Schizosaccharomyces pombe: one gene and its partners. The protein of the gene in region 3 interacts with the protein of the main gene of each other region in a biochemical or structural test. Each region holds a gene or a part of one and is shown on either strand. Other genes may lie near its edges.

Region 1 (10,046 bases), 1.7 Mb from region 3:
AAAGCTGAACAATATTATTTTAGGCAACACGTAATTAAATCCGTTCGAATACAACAATGCATTTCCATCAAGTGAATACATCTCATTACTTTATGAAAATTATTTTTCTGAACCAAGAAAAAATAAGATTGCCTAGTCTTGTTGCTTAGACTTGCGCTTGGCAAGACGCTTGCCAGTACCAAAGACCTTCTTGCCTCTGTTCTTACGTTGCTTGCGTTGTTGACGAGCAACCTTTTGGATAGGCTCGGCATGTCCAACACGGACAAGACGATAATGGGGCTCAAACTTCTTCATGGCCTCGACGTCGTCGTAAATCAATGCAAAACCAGTGGTTCTTCCACCACCATAATGGGTACGAAGACCAAATGCCTGGACAGCACTTGCATCAGTCTTGTACATTTGACCCAATTTTTCACGAAGATCGTTTTTGGAAATGTTGGCCTTGCCAGGATGCAAAATGTCGACCACCTAAAACGCCCTCATGTTAGTATATGCCACGTCTGATCGTAAAGAACTTATAAGCAAAAAAATACATACCATTTGCTTCCTCTGAAGCAAGCGGTTGGTCATAAACTTGCGAGTTCTGATTGTAACCGCCTCACTCATATTGGTCTTAATACAACTATCTAGCGCCCACGAATTCCAAAATTTTACCCCAAAGAAGGCAGTCACAAGATGTGGTACAAAGAAAGAATAGTGAATACTTGAGTAACTACACAAACAACGGTATATTGCTTTAAGGAGATCAAAGGGACTTGTAAATATAATAGAAAATTATGTAGGTATTCCTTCACTTGTCTTAACGAGGATTAGTGCATCGTTGGCTTGACTGAATTTAGTCAATTAAGTCAGCTTGTCGAGTGCATAGAACTATAGGGGCATTGGCTCTTTTATAAGGAATTTTAAAGGATGGAGAAACTTGCTACTCCTTTTTTTTACTTAAATAAAAAGGAAACAAAGCATTCAGATTGGGTTGAGCCATTTACTACGTTCGTATCTCGAATATATGGAAATAGTGTTGATGTCGAAGATCAAATTAAGGCGTTCAACACTTTGAGAGAAAACGCAGCAGACGTCGATGACACAGTTGCTGGTAAGGATATTTTGTATTCTTATTACGGACAACTTGACTATTTGTCTTTCCGATTTCCCACTGGTGGTAATGGAATCAACATTTCTTTTGAGTGGAGCGATATCTTAGATCCCGATGCAGATTTCGTCAAGCAATCTTCTCTTGCCTTTGAAAAAGCATCGGTTTTATTCAATTTGGTTTCATTGCTTTCCCGAATGGCTGCTAATCATGCATCTGCTTACACTGTGGATGATTATAAGGCGGCCGCCAATTGTTTACAATGCGCTAGCGGTATTGCCAAACTCTTACGCGAATCTTTCATTCATGCACCTGGAAGAGATTTAGATTCCAATTTTTTACTAGGTATTTACAATCTTTTCTTGGGTCAAGCACAGGAGTGTGTCTTGGGACATATGTCTTTTTCAGCTAGTGACTCTAACATGAACTATTCGTTGGCTGCAAAGATTGCTAGTTCGGCAGCTACTTTATATGATAGCTGTGTACACGCATTTGAATCTATGGAACCGGCGTGCAATCCCAATTTCATACGGCTTGCTTCTGCCAAAAAGGCCGCCCTTGAGGGATTTTCCTCTTATTTTATGGCACGCGCTCAGTTGGAAAAATCGAAACAAGGGCTTGCTATTGGATATTTACAACAAGCTAAGTCAATTCTTTCGTCTGCTCAAAAGTTATTCAATGGTATAAAGTTGAGTACTGATTTTATTCATAAGCCTAGTCTTTCTGACTATCCTCAGACCATTTCTACCTTCATCAAATCCTCCTTGTCTCATTTGTTAAAAACTGCTGAGAAAGATAATGACTTTGTGTTTCATGATCTTGTAGTCAAGGAAGTTGAGCTCCCAAAAATATCTCCTTTGCAAGCTCTACCACCACTTCCTTTAGAGAAATTGTATGGAAGTCAAGATGGATTTGAAACTGCAAAAAAAATTGTTGGAGATGATTTGTTCAAGGCCTTTGTGCCTAGCGCCGTTACGACCGCCAGTTCGCTGTATTCAGAGGAGACTGCCAAAGTGTTTCGCGCTGAACAAGCTGAAGTAGAACGACAAAACACCCAAATGGCAACGGTTTTCGCCTCCTTAGACCTTAGCCGGCTTCAAGAAATCACACATTCGGATTCCAAAACGAACTTTATTCCGAAAGAACTTATAGAAGCTCGTTCCCAACTTATTTCTTTTAATCCTACTTTTAAAATTCACGAGTTGTTTGCAAAATCCACAAAGTTGAAGCAAATTATAGCGAAAATTAAGAGTGACTTAGAAGTGGAAGCCAATGAAAATGCCAAGATGAAGGCGAAACTTGGACCCTCGTGGACGTTATCAGATAGCTTAGAGTTTGCCGCTCCTTATCAAAGTGAACTCAACAATTACTTGAAGACCTTGGCAGAGGCTTCCGCTACTGATTCCGCTATATCCCAACAATATGCTTTAGTAAAAGATGATGTAGAAACGTTGTGTAACTCTTCCAAAATTAGCGCATTACTAGAATCGTCCATTTCCTCAACTGATAATTCTGGTCAAAGCTTACTTGATATTCCTATTGAGCAGGAGGAGCAAGAGCGCGATATGAAAATACAGCTTGACTTGTTAGAAGAATTGCAATCCAGAGTTCAAAAGTTAGTTCCTGAAAGGCAGACCACTTTACAGGCTTTACAGCAAAAGTGTTTGCAAGATGATATTTCTGAGTCTCTCATGCAAAATAGTAAGCGGAAGGACTCTGCACTCGATACCAATCAGCTTTTTGAACTAGAATTAAAGAAGTTTGACCCCTTGCGAAATAGATTACATGCATCTTATCGGCAACAGCAACTACTATTGAATGAGATGAGAAATGTTACACAAAAGTTGAAACAAAATCCGGAATTTTTGAGAAAGATGGAAGTATACAATAACCAATTTTCTAAAAATAAAGAGTTATGTTCTAATTTGCTTTCTTCTTCTCTTACGGCTAAAGCTATATCGGAAGGTGTATCTAAGGGCCTTGAATATTATAAAACTGTTGAACAGAGACTTGCCGAAATTAATAAGACCCTAGGAGAGCAATTACTTTTAAGAAGGAAACAGGGTGCCACATGTCTTTCAAAACTTTCATCTTCGAGCTCCTCTCATACAAGTATTTCCTCTAATATGCGAAACCTTCACATCTAGCGCCAAGTAACAATTTGGCTGTTACTTTAGGTTCTTTGTCTTCTAGTGTTTAAGTAAACCAGTCCAACAACTTTATAATTAATAAAGCTTTTTGGTGAGCGGACTCTTTCGTTAAAGTTAGTAAAGATGGATGAATTATCAGAAACGCAAGTTATGCAAAACGAAACGGCTACAGCTGTTCTTCCATTGCTGAACGGCGAGAGTCAATCGTTCAATTTGCAAAAGCATCTTAAGTATTTAACCAAAATGCTAGATCCTCTTCCTTCTCCCTTTACAGTATTGGATGCATCAAGGGCTTGGATGGTTTATTGGGAACTAAGTTCATTGGCAATTTTAGGCAAACTTGACAGCTCTGTTTGTGAACGGGCTATTAGCAGTGTGCGACAGTTGAAAGGGCCTAGTGGTGGTTTTTGTGGTGGGAATGGACAAGATGAACATTTATTGAGTACTTATGCTTCTATACTCAGTATATGTCTTTGTGACTCCACCGACGCATATTCCTTGATAGAGCGCGATCGTTTGTACGATTGGTTATTCTCTTTAAAAAATCCGGATGGTTCGTTTCGAGTTAATAATGAGGGAGAGTCGGATGCTCGATCCGTTTATGCAGCTGTATGTGTTTCTTCTTTAGTGGGAATCAGTATGGACGATCCTCTGTTTGAGGGTACCTTGCAATGGCTTTGCAAGTGCCAAACTTATGAGGGAGGTCTTTCAGGTGTCCCTTACGCCGAGGCTCATGGCGGATATACATTTTGTGCCCTTGCCGCAATTGCTTTGCTGGGAGGTCTTGACAATTTAAATGAAATAAAACTTAGCACTTGGCTTGTACAACGTCAAGATCCTGCTCTTTACGGATTTTCCGGTCGCTCTAACAAGCTAGTGGATGGTTGTTATAGTTGGTGGGTCGGTGCTAGCCATGTGATTGTGGCTTCAGGCTATGGTTCGGCTTCTCATAAAAGCCTGCCTAACCTTTTTTATAATCCAGAAAAATTATTAGGATATATTCTTCAATGTTGCCAGAGTACAAGCGGCGGTTTACGTGACAAACCACCAAAACGGCCTGATCAATATCATACTTGTTATTGTCTATTAGGGTTATCATCAATTGCTTATGACTACAGATATCACACTTCTGATGGTTGGTCCTATAAACCTTCCATCTTACACTCCTCTTTAAGCTCTTTATTACCGGCTCATCCAATTTACTGTGTTCCTTTTGGTTTTGAAGAAAGAATTAAATCATATTTTCTGTCACAAGAATCATCAAAATTCTAATGGTTTATTTATGAGTTGTCTATGGACTTTAATTTTTCATGAGAGGATTTTTTTTATTATTTTAACGGTTTATGTCCCGAGTTTAATATCATGCCTATTTTACTTCTCTATCAGGTATTTACTTCGTCATTTTTACACATGTTGAATAAATAATAATTCTTGACTTATTTGTTATCTTTAAAATCATTAATGTCATTAGAATAATCCTTACTAAAGGAAATAAACCATAGCCTTTTACTTATATAGGCAATCGTGGTCCCAATAGAGATCTGCATATAATGGTAACAAATCAGTCATAGAATGCTTTCCGTCAGGTCTCGTAAAGTAAAGCTCCCAATCGTCAGGTGAATATAAAGGCTTATCTGCAATTTTATTTAAAATGTCGTCTAAGCGTGGAATAACAAATGATGGAGCAACAACGTCAACAACTTGCTTATCGTCTCCAGAAAAAGAATCATCAAATCCAACTTGCGAGCAAATAAACCGCAGCGGTTCATAATGAGGAGTTGTAAGATGAGCAGTGTCATCTCCGTCATCTCCTAAATCATCGTGTGTAGTGTATCCATATGTCTTGCGAATGGAGTGTTCATAAAAGTCCTCAAATTTTGCATCAGAAACTTGTGGAGTGTTAATTTGAAGAGTATCTTCAGCAATCAGATATCCACTGTGTTGTAGAGCTTGTGGCAGGTACTTAGTAATCGACCATGGGACATCTTTCAAAACATAGAATATATTACTTTTAAAAGGACAGACTTGAAAGACCTCGTCTAAGCCAAAGGCACCTGAATTTAGACCACCTCGAATGCCACCCGAATTTACAATAATATAGTGAGGAATGTGATGTCGAGACTCATTGACGACTATTTTTGGAAAAAGTTCGGATTGAAATAGATGATAAATTGAGTTTGAATCGTTAAATGGAACTTCTGAAAATGCAAACTTTTTTGGGGAACAACCTATAGGAGTAAGTAAGCCAAGTGCCTTCCGAGCTTCGTAAATGCCATTAGAAATAAATTCTCCAAGTGAGGTATTGAAAGAAGACTTTTTTGTTTTCGAATGAAACATAAAGCCCTCGGGATTCCAATCAATATAGGAACGAGAGAAGCTGACACTGGCAGATTTAGCACTTTGCAAAGAGGAAAATATCTGCTGAGATGACCGTCTAATACTTTCGCCTATAAATCTCAAGCGCTCAGCTAGATAAGATTCCACCCCCATTAAAGAAGAAATCCCAGATAACTTGACCAACGATTTGAAGGATGGAATGCCGTTAATTGAGACCCAACCAACTGTTTCGCAATATCTTCCTGACTCAATTCCCACTGCTTTTTCATCGTAAATGGCATAATCTCTAATATGGGAATGACCACCAAGTACTTGTATTGGAGTGGTAGGGAAGTGAATCCGAAGCTCTGAAAGAACGATATCAAGCTCTGAGGCATTGTGAACGGGTACATGAGCGGGAATCAGAATCAGATCGATGTCTTTATTTGATACCATATCGTTCCACCATGGCTGTAGCGAGAATTGCGAAACTGGGAGGACACGAACCGTATCAGTAGCACCAGAAAATGAGTTTACAAATCCAAACGCAAGGATTTTAACATTGTGGGGTGTAGAAAAGATGGCATATCGATCTCCAAAGGGTACAAAAGAAGAAACATGTTCATCATATATGTCAATGTTTGCAGCTAAATATCGGCCTTCCCACAGAGGAATGAAATTATGATAAGTATCATTTGCAACAGTTGAGAGATAAAGCTCATGATTTCCAGCAACAAGAATATCATAATCCATATTTGCAAGTAATGAATCTGTCCAACTACCAGGGGGATCTGTCAGATCTGACAGGCCCGTACCATCATGAAGATCGCCGGTATCTACTAGCAGTAAATCAACGTCTTTTTGTTTTGCCAAGTGCTTCATATGTTGAACAAAAGAAGCGAAATCTCCTAAATCTCCTGAATAACGTTTATCTCGCGCATGTCCTGCTAACCAGCCATGGATGTCAGTAGTGTGTAAAATATTGACTTGACCCCATGTCAATTCCCGACGAATTGCCAAGGGCAAAGTTGCTGAATAGCAAGGATTGATAACAAATAAAAGAGAGAAAATTAATGAAAATGTATGGGCAGGTTTCATAATAAATATTGGTTCCCAGTATATAGGGTAAGTGCAGAATCGCCAAGATAAGAAGATCAAGTACCAAGTCACAAGCAGCAAATAGTAGCCAGCCAAACCTTCGTAATATGACAATCATTGCTTCCATCAAAAGTCATGGGAGTTTTAAAAAAGAATTCGTAGTCGCCTATTTTTTTTAATCAAAAATTTCTAAATGAAAATTGCGACGTCTGCAAAACGAGCACGCAAATGCAAGATTTTGAGATCGTCAAATGATTAAAAAGCTTTAGTGAAACACTACACTTATGTTATGCCTTTAACTTCCGGTTGGGCATAAGTATTTAGTAAAAGAAAAGAAGAATTGTAAATTGACAATGTGTGGGGAATTGGTTTGACGAACGATAATAGATAATATTATGCAATATTGTAAGTAATATTTATAACCTTATCACAGAGAAAAACGCTTTTAACCAGAAGTATTCCTTCCGAAAAACGTATATTGTCTTTATTCACCAGAGAAGAGTGCAAAAACAAAATATTGTCATTGTTGCTCAAGAAAATGATTAAGCAAGAAAAATTGGTTTTATAGTAATGCAAAAAAATTTGAAAAGGAAAAAATCATTTTTTCCATTCATGAAAATAAATAAAACCATTGAATCTGGCATTAGCATTGTCTCTTAAAAGAATTGGGATCCCGCAACGATGTATTCGTAATACCATAAATATGTATGAATTGCAATACGAGGAAAAGCCAGATTTTTTGTAGAATTTAAAACATAAAAAAAAGAGTAAAAACCAGGGTAAATATTGCAAAGGAGTATGTATCAATTTGCGTTTCCGTTAAAAGAAGGAGCATTCTATTTCTTTCATGAAGACTGCGTTTGCCAGTATCAATAACACTCTAAGCTTACTTTGTTTAAAGAACTTTTTAAAGATAAACAGCAGCCATTAACAGGGTTTTTTTTCCTCCATCAAGCTTGAAGAAATAAACTCATATACCGATTTAAAATAATAATATAAAAAATAAATATTGAATGGGACGGGACTCGAACCCGCGAGCTTTCGCACTGGCGTGCAATGCGTTGAACGCACCTAAAGCCAGCTCCATAACCACTCGGACACCCATCCTTTCTGTAACATACTAACGATTATGTACATAATATAGCAAGGATTAATAGAGCTCAAAATAAAAATAAAAGGTAATAAAAGAATGGATATGTTGTAATGATTAAATACAACTTCGGTTATTCTTTCATTCAGTATGGTTAACTGATTTAAAATGTCCAAACGATATGTTTCGTACAATACATGACGAAAATTTAAGAAGGAGAAGAAACTCATATTCCACTTCAAACGAAATATCAGGTCATTAATAAAGAGGGTTATACAAAAGAGGAAAATTTAATTTCACATTTTTTCTTTCTTCTATTTGAAACCTGCTTTTCCGCCAATTCATCTAGTCATGGTTTGTATCGGTCAACTTATAGTGACATTTGGTATGGAACAAATGAATGATTTGTGTAAATTTTATGGCGATTAAAGAAACTTCCGCTAAACATTCTATTTCCATTCATTCTACTTAATTAATTAATTTATCCCATCAAACGATATTTTGAAGCCACAAAACTAGGGGCATTCTTTATTGCACCACCTGTGCAAAAAGTCGTCTTATTCACTCATCATTCATATTAAAAGGAAAACGTTTCCTATCATTCCCCAAGTTAGAAAATTAGCATAGTTCATAGAAATGTAATCAAAAATTCAAAAAAAAGCCTTAATGCTGTGAGCCTTCTACGCATTCATACTAGTGATGGAACAGTAACGTTTAGTTTCATGCTTTTTTCGTCGTCAACTTCATATCAGTGCTCAGGTCAACGCTAATAGTTCAATGCTTTAAGTCATGTCAATTTAAGAGGCTTTAAAAAAAAATATCAGAAATTTTTCTTCCACGGTGTCCGAAAAAATCTAAAGGAAAATTTTTATCGAGTAATATGAGAGTAAAGTCTTACGCAGTTTCCAATGCCTATCATTATTGTACTGCGAGTCGGACAATTCAAAATCTCGTTCCTATGCATCATTCTGATTACAAATGCAAAACCGACATTGTCAAAAGCAAAGTGTGACACTTTCGCAAAATCAGTTTTCGTTGCATTGCTAACTGAAGAGCCAAGCTATATCAAAAAAGAACTTCCTAAAATAACTTTTCTTTTTATGAATTTATTATTTTTCATTCCAAGCGTCAATTGGGAACGCGAACGACGATTAAATCGTTTGAAACTCACCGGCAAATTACGTTTATGCTTGCAGCACTAGCTTTTTATTGAAATGACTCTTCCAAACGAAAATACCTCTGCCATTGAAATGGAACTACTGAAAATAGAGTATCTTCGTGAATTGAAATTTAAGCAGGAAAAGCTTGGTATTGGTGAGACAGCAATTAGTCCTCGGAACTGCAAACCCCGAGGAAGGTAAAACTCAACAATATCAAGAAAAAAAAGATTCCATAAGCCACACACTGGTACATAAACTGAAGAATTACTTGTTTGAAATTACTTAGACAGGGTCAACGGTGTTATTAAGAATTCCAAGTACATTTGCGTAATTGGCAGAGAGTTCTTTCTTGTTTCCACAATTTCCAGCACATTCATTGTTGTAATTGTTTTCGTCGTCTTGTTCGAGAATTTAGCAGGCTACAATATTTTTGCGTCCGTAGCTAGCCGTTGTTTAAGGTTACTCCCAGTGTCTTTTTCATTTTCTCCCACTGTGCCGCCATTCACTATTTATTGCGAATCCGCCTTGTTTACGTTTTACTTCATCTTTTTATTCGTTATTGTCGCGTGTCTTTATTTTGTGCTTTTATTTCCCGCCATCATATGTCGCTGAAGACTACCGGACACTTTAACATTGCGTATTAATTGATGAAAGTTTTATTTATTAGTGAATGATCTTGTCGCATAACAGCATTCTCCGTGTTTTCCGTTTTTCCGTTTATTTCAGTTGAACTGAGTTGACTTGTTGTACAAATTAATCGATCCCTTGTTTCTTTGAGTGAAGTTCTTTTTAAATTCTTACTTCTCTTTTCACTTATACACTTCTTTTTTTTTCGCTTTTCTCATATTAGTTACCATGTATTACGATAACGCTTTCGGCTATATCCCTGCCCACTGGGTCACCATCCTTGCTGTCATTCTCTTTAGTATCGCTTTCATTCTTCACGTTGCTTGTCTTGCTTTCACGAGAAAATGGCTCGTTATCGTCCCTATTATCGGTACCATTGGTGAATTGGCTGGATGGGCTTGTAGGTTAGACGCTTCGTACAATCCAGATGACTACAACGCCTTCTTGGGTCAAATCATCGCTTTAATTATCGCACCAGTCTTTTATTCTGCACAGGCTTACGTTTTGTTTCATCA
Region 2 (7,674 bases), 1.5 Mb from region 3:
ATACGAGGTAAAGAGACCTTTCCCATTCGTACATATTCATCTTGCGCTGCTACCGCAACATATGTTTTATGAGTGGATATGGAATTCTGGTGCAATGAACATAGCACTCGGTGTAATTTATTTTCTAACTTCATCATCAGGAAGATTGATGTGTGGAAATGGGAAACGTTTTGGCTCCTCCAGTAATGGCGCCCATCGATGGTTTGTTTACATTCTCTAATCGCTACCGTAAACAACTTTTCGTAGATTCAATTCACATTAATCAAAATCATATGAAAAAACATAAGGTAAATATAATAGTATGGTCGCAAACAAAATTTGTTCAAAATAATTTGAAACCATTTACTCTTCAAGGATAACTAGTCCACCGGTGCCTAATTGCAGGTATTCGAAATGCAAAACAAAAATTAGAAATTTCAGAGAAATATGAACAAAAAAATAATTAAGAGAGAATTACAAGCTGTACTGGCGTCGCCGGATCTGGTTCCTATTTGCCCATCACCACCAACGCTTTCATAGTCTGTATCTAGAAATAAAACACGAGAAACGTGTTAGCATAATAATTTTTCTGTTAAAACATAGCTACGCTAGTGCCATTTCCCGTCAATGTTAAGTTCTTTCAAAAAATCGTTCCATAAAATTTCTTGAGCAACTTTGGTTGTACCTTTCCTCACACAAGAGAGCGTAATTTCATAGACGGAAATAAAAAAAAGAAAAAAAATAATAAAATTATAAATACCCTTAAAATCGTAATTTTTTTCTTACCCAACCTTGTTTTAATACCAGCCTTCGAAAGATAAAAATACTGATACTTCGTTATTCAGCGTTTGTTTAAATAGGTTAGCGAACGCGTATCACCCAAGAACCTAACCTTCGGGTTGCAAAATAGAGCGGAAATGAGCAGAATTTTTATTTTACTGCTTTTATTTGGAGTCTGCTTAGCGTGGACCTCTTCCGACCTTGAAATTTTTCGAGTTGTTGATTCTTTAAAGTCAATTTTGAAGAATAAGGCCACGTTTTATGAGCTACTCGAAGTGCCTACAAAAGCCTCTATTAAAGAAATCAATAGAGCGTACAGAAAGAAGAGCATCCTTTATCATCCAGATAAGAATCCAAAAAGTAAAGAATTGTATACGCTTTTAGGGCTGATCGTAAACATTCTTCGCAACACTGAAACGCGTAAACGTTATGACTATTTCCTTAAAAATGGATTTCCAAGATGGAAGGGAACGGGTTATCTTTATTCAAGATATCGCCCTGGTTTAGGTGCTGTGCTCGTCTTGTTGTTTCTTCTCATTTCCATCGCACACTTCGTTATGCTCGTAATCAGTTCAAAGCGGCAAAAGAAAATCATGCAGGATCATATAGACATTGCTAGACAACACGAGTCTTATGCAACTTCCGCCAGAGGTTCAAAGCGTATTGTACAAGTACCCGGTGGAAGGCGTATATATACAGTCGATTCCATAACTGGTCAAGTGTGTATTTTGGATCCCAGTTCCAATATAGAATATCTAGTTTCACCAGATTCCGTTGCAAGCGTTAAAATATCTGACACCTTTTTCTACCGTCTTCCCCGATTTATAGTTTGGAACGCCTTTGGACGCTGGTTTGCAAGAGCACCTGCATCGTCCGAAGATACGGATAGTGATGGACAGATGGAAGATGAAGAGAAAAGTGATAGTGTCCATAAATCTAGCTTCTCCAGTCCTTCGAAGAAAGAGGCTTCCATAAAAGCCGGAAAGCGACGAATGAAAAGACGAGCAAATCGAATTCCACTTTCTAAAAACACGAATAGAGAAAATTAAAGTTACTGAGTCAAATTTATATTGTTAGAGTGTCTTTAGGTTTTTATAGTCAAGTGATTGATCACGTTGTTTCTAAGTTAATAGTCTATTGTTTAGTTTTCTTCGACAATTCATCATCATAATATAGTTATCATTTCCCCTTGGCTGCTTGAATACAGTCTCTACAAATGTTTATATACTTGGAAGTCATATGTATATCTGCATTTACTTTAGGAAAAGACTTATCATCTTGATAAGCCATTGCATATAGACCAAGTGCAGAATGTAAAACATCAGGAAACTCACCTGGTGTTTTAGAAAATCCGCCCAAAGCATGTTGAGCATGCAATAATAAATATTTTTCCAACTCACCCCCATCGATAAAAGGCAGAGCATCAAGGAGTTTTAATGAACTCAAAACCCAATAAGCATAACAGGTGTCAACGTCTTTATTCGTCCTTCCGTTTAATCCTCCAGATGATAATTGTCTAGAAGCTAACCATCTGATAAGGCGTTCTACTTTAGGCACACAATCCATTAAGTTATATGATTGATTAGAAGTATTCAAAGAGGAATTTGGAATCATTTTCAATATTAAAGACCATGATGCTAACGCGCAAAATGTAGCTCCAGCATGGGCTTCGCCGTATGGTAACAAAGAAAATCCGCCTTCATAGCGTTGACAGCTTTTAATATATTGGATAGAACATAAAGGGTCAGACAGAGAGAAATCAAGAAGCGAAGCAATAGTCGTAGCCATATATAACTGTCGCATGTCTTGGTCCGAACATGATGGCACAGCAATACTTCTAAAATGACCCTGCGAAGTTTTGCACAACTCCACAAAATTCTTAATTAAATCGCGGTCGATACGAGAAAGATTATCGCCAAGAAATAAAAGGCAACAAATTGAAAACACAGTCCCAGCTAATTGCGGCTCCTGTTCGAATGAGATGGGTTGAATGCCAGTTCTATACGCCTGAAAACCGGAGTATTTGATTCCTTTAGATTCTTTCGTTACATAGTTTTTGTAGATCCACTCGATCCAACTTTTTTTATCGTCATCATCTATGGTGTTCAATGCATTTAGCAAGTCTAATCCTAATAAACAAAAGAATGCTAACACTGTTCTTTCGCAATCGTGTTCTTCGTATGGAGTAGGAAATAGTATAAGATGTCTCTTAAAGAAAGCAATATGTTTAGCTCTTGTTAATTCCATTGGACCATAAATAGATGCGCCGATAGCAGAATTCTATAGATGTCAATAGAATAGTAAGTCTTAAAAATCTATCGAACAAAATTGGTACAAGAACGATAATTATTTTAAGCTTAAAAACAAAAAAACGCGACAAGGTATTTTGATTTATAGTAATGAGCAGATATATTTCTGTAATGATTTGTTCATGAAAAGAAATTCGGTGAATTAGCTCGGTAAACTTCGGAAATTTCTTGTATGGATCACCGGACTTTTTGTGGAGTATGCTCGGAGAATAAAATTAAGTCACCGGCAGTATACCATATAGGTGTTTGAAGATACAGAAATTTACGAACCGTTGGTACCCTTAGAGAAAGCATGTCTGATCCTTTCTTTACACGTCCAGAGCATAGAAAGAGGAAAGCTAGGAGTGCTACTTCAAAAAGAGAAAAAGAGAATCAAAAATTGGAGAGGAATGGACCCGCTAATGAAGATTTAGCATCTATATCATCAGAATCCGAATTCAATGGCTTTGAGGACGAAATTGATGAGGAAAATGAAGATACTTATGAGACTGCAGCAGAAAAAAGGCTTCGATTAGCAAGGGAGTATCTAGACGAGGTCAAGAACGAACTGGTCGAAGATGGAGGTTTCGATGCGAAAGAAGTGGATCGTGAATTGCTTGCAAGTCGATTGAAGGAGGACGTATTAGAAAAGAAGGGACAAATGTATTTAGACTATACTTCTAAAATTAATCCTGATGTAAAAATCGAAACAGCTCAGCTGCGAGGCCGTCACATGCGTCCGCTAGTTGGAGTGGTAGCATACGAAAATTTTGTTTATAGTGCTGATAAATCGGGTTTGATCCAAAAATGGGAAGCTTTGCAAGAAAAAGATACTGAAAATAGGGAAAATGACGATCATGAAATTGGGAAAGCTATAAAATTGCACTTCAGACCGATCAAATTCTCTCGCAGCCGAAGAGGAGAGAACGATCATGTAAAAGAAATCACTTGCCTAGCAATTAGCAACGATGGTCGTTGGATCGTTACTGGAGGTTTGGACCATCGAATTGTCATTCGTGATAGTGTGACACTTGAGCCTCAACATTGTTGGAAACATCATCGGGACGCAGTAATGGGATTAGCCATGCGAAGAGGAACCAATGAAATGTTTAGTTGTTCCGCTGATCGATCCATCAAGGTATGGTCTTTGGATCAAATGTCTTATATTGAAACGCTATTTGGACATCAGGATGTTATTTTTGGAGTGGATGCATTAGCTCGGGAAAGATGTGTCAGTGTAGGTGGTAGAGATCGGACATCGCGTCTGTGGAAAATTGTTGAGGAGTCTCAACTGGTATTTCGTAGTGGAGGTACTTCTATGAAAGCAACTGCAGGCTATATGGAAGGTAGTGTGGATTGTGTGGCAATGATTGATGAAGACCATTTCGTTACTGGAAGCGATAATGGAGTTATTGCACTTTGGTCTGTTCAACGTAAGAAGCCTCTTTTTACATACCCACTTGCTCATGGACTAGATCCCATTCTAGCTCCTGGGCGTCATTCCGCTGAGACGTCTCCAGATCCTGTCACTATACCTCCTCAACCTCGATGGATCACTAGTTTGGCTGCTATCCCATACTCCAATCTATTTGCTTCTGGTTCTTGGGACGGAAACATCCGTTTATGGAAGATAGCGGAAGGCCTTCGTTCTTTTGAACCTTTAACAATCGCTACTCCGTTGTCAGTTTATGGCTGCATCAATTCCCTTTCACTTTCTTTGCAAGGAAAAGGTAAACAATCAGAGGTAAGAGTATTCGCTGCTTGCGGAAGAGAAACTCGCGTTGGTCGTTGGAAAACCTTGCGGGGCATCCCTAATTCAGGCTTCGTGTTTAATATCCCTTTAACGGTTATTCCTTCTGTTACAGATGGTGACGAGATTGATGAGTAGTAAAGTTGCAAAATAAAAGAACTTAGCTTTTCATTATTTTTCATATAAGCGGTTATGAAGCAGATGTGATGGATCTCTTATTACTGTGTTTATCTTTTCCTGGTGTACAAAAAATTTTAATTCATGGAACGGAATTTTGGGTTGGATTTAATTTAAAAGTTTAGATAAAATACGGATTTATTAGGAAAAAATATACAAAAATGAAATTGATTATTAAAACGAACAATGATGAACCATGTCTTTCAATTCGGGCTTTTCTATTTGGGTTCTTTAAATGTTTTATAAATTGAAAAAAGAAAAAGAAGGATGAAATAGTTTGTAATAAACGAATGAACTTTCTTCTTCATCAAATGCCGTGCATTGAAATGGTGCATAATGAAATTATTGAAGCAAAATGAAAATATCAAAATCGTTAAACCGAAGTTTTGTTTATGAGTATTGTTAAAATCCTATTAAGTTTTACTAGTTCTTGCTATCACTTTGTTTACCTCTTGCCCCAAATTGTCCTCAATATTACTTGTCTTAATAATGGTAATCAAAAGCCCTTTTTTTAGTTTTTAGTATCTTATAGATTCTTTAATGGAGTATAGACCTTTTAAAAAAGTCGTTCTTTGGAATTCTCCTAGACTCGTCAAAAATGAAATACATGTATCTTTGCATGAAAAGTTGATGGACTTAGCAAAAAGCGCATATTGGCATAATACTCTATTTTTTAATTTGGAATGAATTTTCTTTAACAAATGACAGAACCTAGAATCGTAAATATTTAAGATTCCTAGGTTGTTTCCACTTTATAACTTCGACTGTACTTTCTTGACAAACCAAAAAACGGTTTTTTAATATACTAATATCACTAAATGGTACTTATTTGCTCCCGCAACTACGGTTATCTTTGGTTTTCCAAATCCCGTTACCGTGACACTTTGCAGATATGGTGGTAATATATTTTAATAAAGATATAAACACCATGACTACTATGAATCACGAGATGCGGTAGCCGTTAAATCAATGTTTTTATACAGAAACTTTGTCAAACGAAACTATTGATCCGTCGAACATGCGGTCTTTTTGTGCAGTATTACTTAACACAACTTTTCACAGTAGCCGTTATCTATCTATGTAGAATTCTCCTAATATAACTTGACGTTTTTATCTCAGGCGCTTAGATAACATGTGCTTATTTTCTTCATCTTTGCAGCTAGCTACACTGTATATATATGGGTCTTCATCGGAGTTTCGACAGACATTCACATAAATGGAGAGGCAAATCAATTACTAGCAAGCGAACAAATTAACAGTTTAAGTAATCAAATTGTACAATGTTTTCAAGTAATTTCCGGTAAAATGCTTACATTGATTTTTATTTTAATGGAAACACTTTGGAATACGTTATGTGCATTAAGCTACTACGCTACAATACCTTTATAATGTATAATGAATTTTTAACGTTGCAAAAGGGATTTCCTTTGGATATGAAAGGATTATAACGAAGTTTGCTGTTAAAAGAAAATACGAAAAAGTCATTTAACGAGTTCGGTTCATGAATGCGTCAACTAAGCCGCGAATGGCTTAAACCGCGGATTACGTTGATGTGAAATTCTGGGGGGCACATACTTTGACCAGAGCAAACTACATTAAAGCAGGCGGAAACGCATACACCGTCTATTAGTTTGGAAGAAAACCAAAGCTTGTTGTTGCTCTGATTAATAACATTTCTAATCAATATAATAATATGAAGGCTTCTTTCTTTGTATTTGCAATTTCTGCTTTGCAGGCGTTACAAGCCTCGGTAGCTTCTGCTTATAGCGAAGTTCCAGGAAAACGATCGGTCGTTTTAAATCTGCAACATAGCCAATATGATCATGTGGCGAGGAAACTGGAACGTACCAAAGTACTGAACAAGCGCGATTCTTCGGGATATCCAGTGTTGGATCTTGAGTACACTGATGCTGGCGGTTATTTCGCTAACCTTACCTTGGGCAGCAATGAAAGAGTCTATTCTCTCACTTTGGATACTGGTAGTCCTTATACTTGGGTTACTGCTAAGAACATTACGGCCTTAAGTGCTTCCGAGATTTGGAGTGACACCGATGGGGTGGATGCTGGTAGATCTACCTCGGACATTCGTACTAATGCTTGTACCAACTACACGTGTTTTGATTATTCCAGCACTACCGCCAGGCGTACCAACTCCAGCACCATTGGATTTTTGGCTTCCTATGGCGACAACACCACCGTCCTTGGCTACAATATGGTGGATAACGCTTATTTCGCCGGTCTTACCCTACCTGGCTTTGAATTTGGATTGGCTACACGCGAATATGATAGTAGTCAAATTTCCGTAACGCCGGGAATTATCGGTTTGTCAGTTGCCATGACTATTACTGGTATTAGTTCTGATGACAAGGTCGTTGCTTTTACTCCCCCTACCATTGTTGATCAATTGGTAAGCGCAAATGTGATCGACACCCCCGCGTTTGGAATTTATTTGAATGAAGATGTTGGTGAACTTATTTTTGGTGGTTATGATAAGGCAAAAATCAATGGATCTGTTCACTGGGTCAACATCTCTTCCTCTGATGACAGCACCTTTTATTCCGTTAATCTCGAAAGTATCACTGTTACCAATTCTACCTCCAGTAACAATGTTCAAAGCTCCAAACGCTCCTCTAAAGACATTGAGGTCAACACCACTGTCACTTTGGATACTGGTACTGTTTATATTTATTTACCTGAGGA
Region 3 (7,382 bases):
ATCAATGATAAAACAAGAAAAGTTGATGCTTCAGCTTTGGAAAAAAAATCTTGTCTGTTGCCAAACTCATCAGGAACATTAACAGATCAGCGTGGTTTGGATACAATCAAGCATAAAAGCATAGAACAAAATGAGATTTTGCACGTCATCTCTGATACTTTATCTTCACCGAGAAGAAGGAACCCTTTATTATCATCTCCTAAAACTCCTTTACGTAGATCTTTTTCTAAGTCAAAAGTCCGAAACTCCAATTCTACAAAACGAAGAAACTTTATTTCATTAATTTCAATGATATCCCCTCGACCTAATCTTTCTACCCATCATTTTAATCTTGGTTTTCAACCTTTAAGTCAACAAACTTCGTTCTCAGGAAGTAGCACTCAGAACCCTCATTCTTCCAGCACTTGTAAAAAAGCATTTTGTTTCCAATGCATTTCTGAGTCAAAAAAATGTTGATTCAGCTTTAAACCACTTATTCTCCCATCTTCTTCGCTTGCCATACCATGGCTTTTAATGACCTATTTCTTCGAACATATATTTATTTTTTGTTTTCATTTACAACAAATTGTCTTTCGAGTTATCATGTTACATTCGAATATATATTTTTTTACTAATATATTAATCATTCGTTGAGTTTTTACGTGATCTATGCTTTTGTAGTATGGCAAATGAGTACACATAATTGTTCTCCACTCTTCATGTTATAAGTAAAAATCGTAGTCATAAAGATATCTAGCCGAAATATCCATTCAGTGTGTTGAACAAAGATTATCTTTAAATATCGCTTAATGAGTACAATATTTCAATTTATAACACATGTACCTGTTTAAATGACTACTTACACCACTACAAATTTCTGTCATTGTGAATCATTATGGAGTCGAGTGTAAAATGTATGTTAAATGCCGCATTACTAAAGCTTTATCTATAAACTAACAATTAAAGATGCGCAGGAGTTCGTCCAACGGTATTACTCATCTCTTGATACGAACAGAAATGGGATCGCAGAATTTTACAGAGAAAATAGTTTGATCTTATGGAATGGAAAACCCATGCAAGTAACCGAATTTACCTCTATGATAGTTAATCTTCCATACTCCAAAACTAAAGTTGAGGATTTCGATAGTCAACAGGTCATGGGTAATGATATGAATATCATAATTGTTGTTTCAGGAACAATACGTTTCGATGGAAAAAAACCTCATGTATTTTCGTATGTCAGTTTTTATTGTATTTACCTTCTTGTACTAAGATCCTCTACTAACTTCCTTTAAGAGACAATATAGTTCTACAACAGGAAGAATCAAAGTATTATATTGCCAGTCAAAATTTTAGAATTATGAGTGAATAATACGTATCCAAAACAAAGATTTCATTTCGTTTAGAGTTTGTATTAATTTGCCGCAGCAAGCTTATCTGAGCGACACATTCCCTAATCCCTCATACTTCTTTAGAACACAAAATTAACCACCACCTTACAAATATGAAATATTGGAAGTATTTGTCTCAGCTGACTATCAGAAGGCCTCTTACATACAACAATGCTCTTCTGTATAGGAATAGGTTTCCTAGTATATTAACATGGAAGAGAAGTGCGACTACGCAACCTGACGACACTATTTTCAAGGATCCAGTAATGGATGAGCAAGTCCAGAAACTTGAAGAGAAAATGAGTTCATTAGTTGTTAATGATCCGGAACTTGCTCAAAAGGTTGGCCGTCTTCGTCAGTTTTTTGAGAAATACGGCCTTGAAGCTGGTTCAAAACCGTCACCTCTTACTATCCTAAAGATTACTCGTGATCCGGAATTCAAGCAGTTAGCTGAAACTATCACGGAGATATTTAAAAAATCTGGAATTCAAAATGATCCTGCGTATGTTTTTTTGAATGTATTCCATTGATTGTGCGAACACTAACATATCTATAGATTTTTGGAACTTGTTCGAAGAAACCTTAAGAAAGAAAAGTAAAAATATGCCTCTGACATTTTTTTTATTCTTTGTTTGGCCTAATAACCATTACTTGTTCACTATTATGTGAAACTTACAATTGGAGGAATGACTAATGTTATTGATTTCATAAACGATTCACTATACATCACAACTACTTTCTTAATTAGTAGGAATTTTAAACAAGATGCTTTATCAAAATATCAGTAAACCCAATTAGCATTCAAAGCATAGATTTAAGGATTGCTCCTTTGGGACATCCATGTCCATAAAGCGGCATGCGGTACGTCAACCTCATTTGCTAGTTTTTGATAAATCTCTTCAGACGACGAAGGCTCGTACATAGCTAAAAACTCTAAGAGTGGCTTGTGTAAAGCAGGCAAATTTTTTCGGAGATTAGCTATGAGATTATCAAGTTTTGAAGGTCCTGATTTGTCAAGTACACTGTAAAAAAGTTAATGAAGAATGTAATTAATGGAAATGAGAGATACTTACCCACACAAATAATTCCAAGCACTCTGATTGTCAGGAGCAAAAAGGATTTTGTCTTTCAGATAATTCAGTTCCTCTTCCAAAGACCAAGAAACCACCTTGGAGGTTTCAAACAAAACATAAAATCTATGATTCCAAGCCGAATTGTTATAAATGTCTTTTTCCAATAATTCGTTGGTTAACTTCAGCTCTTGAGAATAATCATTAAAATTTTGCAAGATCCAAACTCGGTAGGACCAGACATGATAATTTTTACTGTCAATTTCAAACATCTTTTTCGTAAACTCAAGTTCACGCTCATAATTCTTAGTCAAAGAAAGTATTTTTTGCCTATGATGCCAAACCTGGTAGTTTTTTTGAAAATCTTCGGCAATTTCATCGAGCCATTCTAATTCATTGTCTATGTAACTGGGCGTGTGGTTTAGGATTTGAAATCTATAAGCCCATACTGTATAATGAGCTGGATTATTCATAATCAAGAAACCTGTTAAATTAAGTGCTCTCAAGGAGTACTCCTTTTTAGCCATAATGGCACGAAAATAAGCCATTCCTTGTTCATATCCTGTCGTGTAGCAAATTTTCGCTAATGGGTTTTCGCCATCATCCTGAGGAATGGGTGTTAATGGTCCATATTCTGTAAAATCCAAAATTTCATTTAACTCGGGATCAATGGGATCCATTTCATTAATTTGGCATCCGTTGTACAATTCTCAACTCAAAGAAACAAATACTTAAAGGCCGAAAATTTAATTATAAGTGTTTTATTAAAAAGGATTGTCAGGTTTTTCTAAATTATCAACTCGAAAAACAATGAGTCTCTTTGTTTAGTGCGTACTATTGTTCAGGTGTGATGGTGGGTTAACTAAGGAGAGTAAGTAGATGAATAGTGAGTTAGGATTACCATGTTTACAATATGTGATTTATTTCAAACTTTTATCATAGTCTTTTATTAATTTTATTGTAGGCAACGGAGTATATTCATAAAACTTCAAACGTACAGGTTATATGAGTATCACCGACCAATTCGTGGTATTTCAGTATTGCCTATTAATTAAACCGGTGTTATATTTTCAGTTTGAGCACAATAAAAAAAACATCAAGTACATCAAGTAATTGCAAAACCCATCTAATTTTAAGTAGAGTATGAAATGTTGTGAGTTTATAATAATACCTAATTCATGTCCTGTCCGGATAGATGCGCTTTGGTCGTACAAAACGAATGACTAGTGATTACAAATTGCCTATGAGAAATCTGTATCTTCAGCATCCTAGCGATTAAAACTGATGAGGATTAAAGAGATTCATGCAAATTATTTGAACACCTATATAAAGCATTGAAGGCTTCTGGTGAACAACACGATATAGAAAAATATATTGATATGCGTTTCAATGATTATTTTAGTTTAAAACGAGAACCTAATCACCAGAGTCATGAAATGTCATTTGTTAGTATCTCCAAAAAAATATATAGCAATGCCGAAGCAAATTATTTCTTTATAATCTCCTGATCTACTCAATTTTTAATTTCTTAAGTTGAAATCTGACATTCCGATTATTTACATATACTTACAATGAAATGTTGCAACAATAATAGCATTTAAAGCATTTTAATATTTTTTAATTGATCCAAACCTTCCATTAATATTCAGTAAATTAAATTAACATCTTAAAAAGGGTTCGAAGCTGCTTTGAAAAGTCATGTCAAATTTATATTACTACTTACTTTTCCCTTACAGAATATATGACCAACCAGAATTTGCGCTAATAAAAATTTAATTAAAAGTAATTAAAACGTGTCTTCTAAGAAAGCAATGACTTCTAAATGTTTTCGACTTTGCTGGATTTTTCTAGATGGTTAATTATGCTTGACTTCATGCACTAGACGAAATTTAGATTTAGCTCATAATGTGCAACCTTCACCAACATAGATGACTGAAATTTTATTGAATTGAAAAACTCAAAAATTAACTGATCTTTATTTGTCGGTGTTTTTTAATTCAATTTTGAGAACGGGTTTGTGGGTTTGTACTTACCGAAATAATTTAGAACTAAAGGAAGTTACTACGGCAGTCTGTATTACCTCTAGGTTTTAGACTAAAACATCATAACAGATTTATTTAGATTTTTTTCTCATTTCAAACATTATTTATTACTTTTTGTTGTCTTTACATTATTTTGTTTTTAATTTACTACTCGCATTTCGCCCATGAAGCGTCAAAGACCACAAGACTCTATGATATCTGTCCCGTTGCAAAATGAAAACAGTACGACCACTCCAACTAAAGAAGTTAGTCATTTAAACTTTCCTTTGAAACGACCGCGATTGCATTCTTTTGTCCCAACTTCCAAACAAGCCGCTTTATCAGACATAACTCCAGACACGCCTCCTGCCTTCAAAACTCCTTACAGTAGTTTGCCTTACAATTTGGTTCCCCAGAATTCTAGTACTAGCAAAAAAAGACCAAGGGCAGAAGACCTGTTGGTTATTGAGCCGTCTCAAAATAGCCTTGTTCCTAGTACACAAAATAATGAGTGGAACGAAATTGCTCGAAAGAGAGTATCTTTAGAGTCCGATCATCCTGACAAATCGGGTCAAGTTATTGACCTTGCAACAGGGCAAATACTCGACAAGCAAACAGAAGATATCGATGATGATCGAAACAAGAGTGCCGTATCAAAATCCCTCGTTAGACATCCTCATCGCTTGAAGATGCTTCCTTTTGGTATTCAATCCGCACATCCTTATATATCTTCCTTGAATTCTAATTACCCAACGACTTGGCATTTTGCTTCACATTACTATCCTACAGATAGTAAACAACTAGTGAAGTATCACCCTACAGAAGTCCATCCTTCATGGACGGTTGAAGAACCAGTACATTATAATACCTACGATGGAGTCGTCAATGAACCGAATAGTTCGGTCATTATTGAAGAGCTTGATGATGACTATGATGAACTTAATGATCCTATGAATAACAACGATACCCCCATTACTAATTCCACTCATTCTGCTCAAATGTCTAATCTACCTACTCATGATAGCATGGATATTGACATGGGAGGTGCTGTCCCTTCGACATCTACATAAGTAATATATCTTATGTTCCTGTTAACAATTTTGAGTCCTTTATTATTATTTTTTTTTTTGCATCCCAAGTTCCAAATCTCATATCAAAAACCGTATCCCAAATTATTATTTATGTCCCTAATATAACCAAAATCACATGTGATCAATCTAAAAAATCTAGCTAGAAAAACTGTCATCAATAAATTTTTGTTTCTTCTAAATTTCTTTTTAAATCTTGAACAAAATGATAAAATTAACAATTCACCCAACGCCCATTAATCCGTTTTTGTATGATTTGCACGGCTGGTAGATTCCACGAAGGTGATCCTGTTCCAATATTGGCACTTAGAATAGGAATAACCCAGCACTCTCGTTTTGTTGCATTATCCAGGTACCGAATTGGTGGATATGAAAGGGGTTTCGAGTAAGACAAAAGAGTAGTATTTTTAGCAAGTCTAGCCAAATGTTCTGGGCTGATTTCAGTTAAAGGAGACATGTAAACACGACCACTTCTGCTTTCATGTAGACTAAGATAGACAACATATTCAGAATCAATATTATAAGTTCTATCAGGTACGAATTGAACAACCTCGGAACCAGACGGGAAAAGTGTAACATATCCACGCTTCTCTTTATCATATAGAGCAACTTGATCAATATATGCAGAAGCAATAAATTGTCTGAGTGCTTTAATTTGTACACTAGTTGGAGGCTTAAGCTGTAACTTGAAAAATTCTTTTTCGACTCTAACCATATATCTTTTTAGTAGACCAATAATTTGCTTACGAAGATTGGTGACTTCTTCCAATGCTTTTTCTCGCAGATAATTCTCTTTACAAAACTTTCTCTTATCAGAAGCATAGTCATACGCACACACAGCACTTAACAAACTCAAGGCAGGCGCATCAGGGTCTATAGCTTGAAATCTCGATATTGCATTAAAGTATCCACGCATTCTATTTTTATATTCTTCCTTTTGCTTGATTTCGTCATCATCAATCAGATCAGTTTCTTCGCTACGAGAATTTTTGTCATGAGCATCATATAAAAGAGATTGCTTTGACACAAAAAGCTGGTTTATAGACAATGCTGAAACCAATGCAATAACATAAGGTAGGCAACCATGCTGCTGACCAATAATTAACATTTTCGAAAATCGAGGAGACAGAGGAAATAAGGACATTTGTTCTCCTAGTTTGGTAAGAACCCCTTCGCTATCAATAGCCCCTAGATTTGACAAGAGTTTTAACGATTTTTCAAGCCTACTACGACCTGGAGAAGTTGGAAAGGGGAAATTTGCAATGTTATCAATGTTCATGTTTTTCATTTGAAGTACGATGCTTTCGACCGGAGTACGCAGAATTTCAGGCAAAGAATGCAAGGGAAAAGAGCTATCAAACACCGCAGACGAATATAGACGATAGCAGTGACCTGGTCCCGTACGACCAGCACGACCAGCACGTTGATCAGCATTTGCTTTGCTAATCCATCGTACTTCAAATTTTTGAACAGAAGTCTTTTCATTATACACGCGCTCTTTTGCCTTACCACAATCAACAACGTATCGAATATTAGGAATGGTAATAGATGTTTCGGCAACATTGGTAGCGACAATACACATACGATGACCTTCTGGCGATGAATCAAATACCTTCATTTGGTCTTCGGTAGTTAACAAAGAGTAAAGAGGAAGTACATACATAGGTTCAGATTCATCATCATATGTGACAGAACTTGAAGAACTTGTAGGCACTTGATCTATATCTTCTGTTTCAGATTGCAAATCCTCGTTCTCAACGGACATAGTTTTTCTCGATACTACAATGCGTGCACGAGATTTTAGAGGCCTAAAAGAGCGTACAAACCGCTTTC

Evidence for each region.
Region 1: the proteins of cwp1 (region 3) and cpp1 form a complex in vitro, tested with the Schizosaccharomyces pombe proteins (one study listed by BioGRID).
Region 2: the proteins of cwp1 (region 3) and cwg2 form a complex in vitro, tested with the Schizosaccharomyces pombe proteins (one study listed by BioGRID).

What each region holds. Positions count from the first base shown.
Region 1 is NC_003424.3:3,589,663-3,599,708, reverse strand, and holds cpp1 (protein farnesyltransferase beta subunit Cpp1), read left to right. Parts: upstream 1-3,302; 5' UTR 3,303-3,363; coding exon 3,364-4,512; 3' UTR 4,513-4,746; coding exon of another isoform or gene 4,747-6,654; 3' UTR 6,655-6,715; downstream 6,716-10,046. Other genes in the region: rps2401 (40S ribosomal protein eS24), read right to left, coding at 133-468, 538-606; bro1 (vacuolar protein-sorting protein), read left to right, coding at 910-3,237; SPOM_SPAC17G6.03 (phosphoprotein phosphatase), read right to left, coding at 4,747-6,654; tco1 (RTA1-like protein), read left to right, coding at 9,760-10,046. UniProt on the Schizosaccharomyces pombe protein: Catalyzes the transfer of a farnesyl moiety from farnesyl diphosphate to a cysteine at the fourth position from the C-terminus of several proteins. The beta(cpp1) subunit is responsible for peptide-binding.
Region 2 is NC_003424.3:3,326,002-3,333,675, forward strand, and holds cwg2 (geranylgeranyltransferase type 1 beta subunit Cwg2), read right to left. Parts: upstream 3,165-7,674; 5' UTR 3,007-3,164; coding exon 1,939-3,006; downstream 1-1,938. Other genes in the region: mug109 (Rab GTPase binding protein upregulated in meiosis II), read right to left, coding at 1-137; DNAJ domain-containing protein Erj5, read left to right, coding at 897-1,808; U3 snoRNP-associated protein Rrp9, read left to right, coding at 3,361-4,935; aspartic protease Sxa1, read left to right, coding at 6,668-7,674.
Region 3 is NC_003424.3:1,862,489-1,869,870, forward strand, and holds cwp1 (geranylgeranyltransferase type 1 alpha subunit Cwp1), read right to left. Parts: upstream 3,284-7,382; 5' UTR 3,121-3,283; coding exon 2,444-3,120; intron 2,393-2,443; coding exon 2,185-2,392; 3' UTR 2,063-2,184; downstream 1-2,062. Other genes in the region: CENP-A histone chaperone Scm3, read left to right, coding at 1-456; mRNA export receptor Nxt1, read left to right, coding at 875-893, 946-1,274; protein dpc13, read left to right, coding at 1,484-1,872, 1,927-1,969; SPOM_SPAPB1A10.05 (uncharacterized protein), read left to right, coding at 4,647-5,531; dhx37 (ATP-dependent RNA helicase Dhr1), read right to left, coding at 5,764-7,382. UniProt on the Schizosaccharomyces pombe protein: Catalyzes the transfer of a farnesyl or geranyl-geranyl moiety from farnesyl or geranyl-geranyl diphosphate to a cysteine at the fourth position from the C-terminus of several proteins having the C-terminal sequence Cys-aliphatic-aliphatic-X.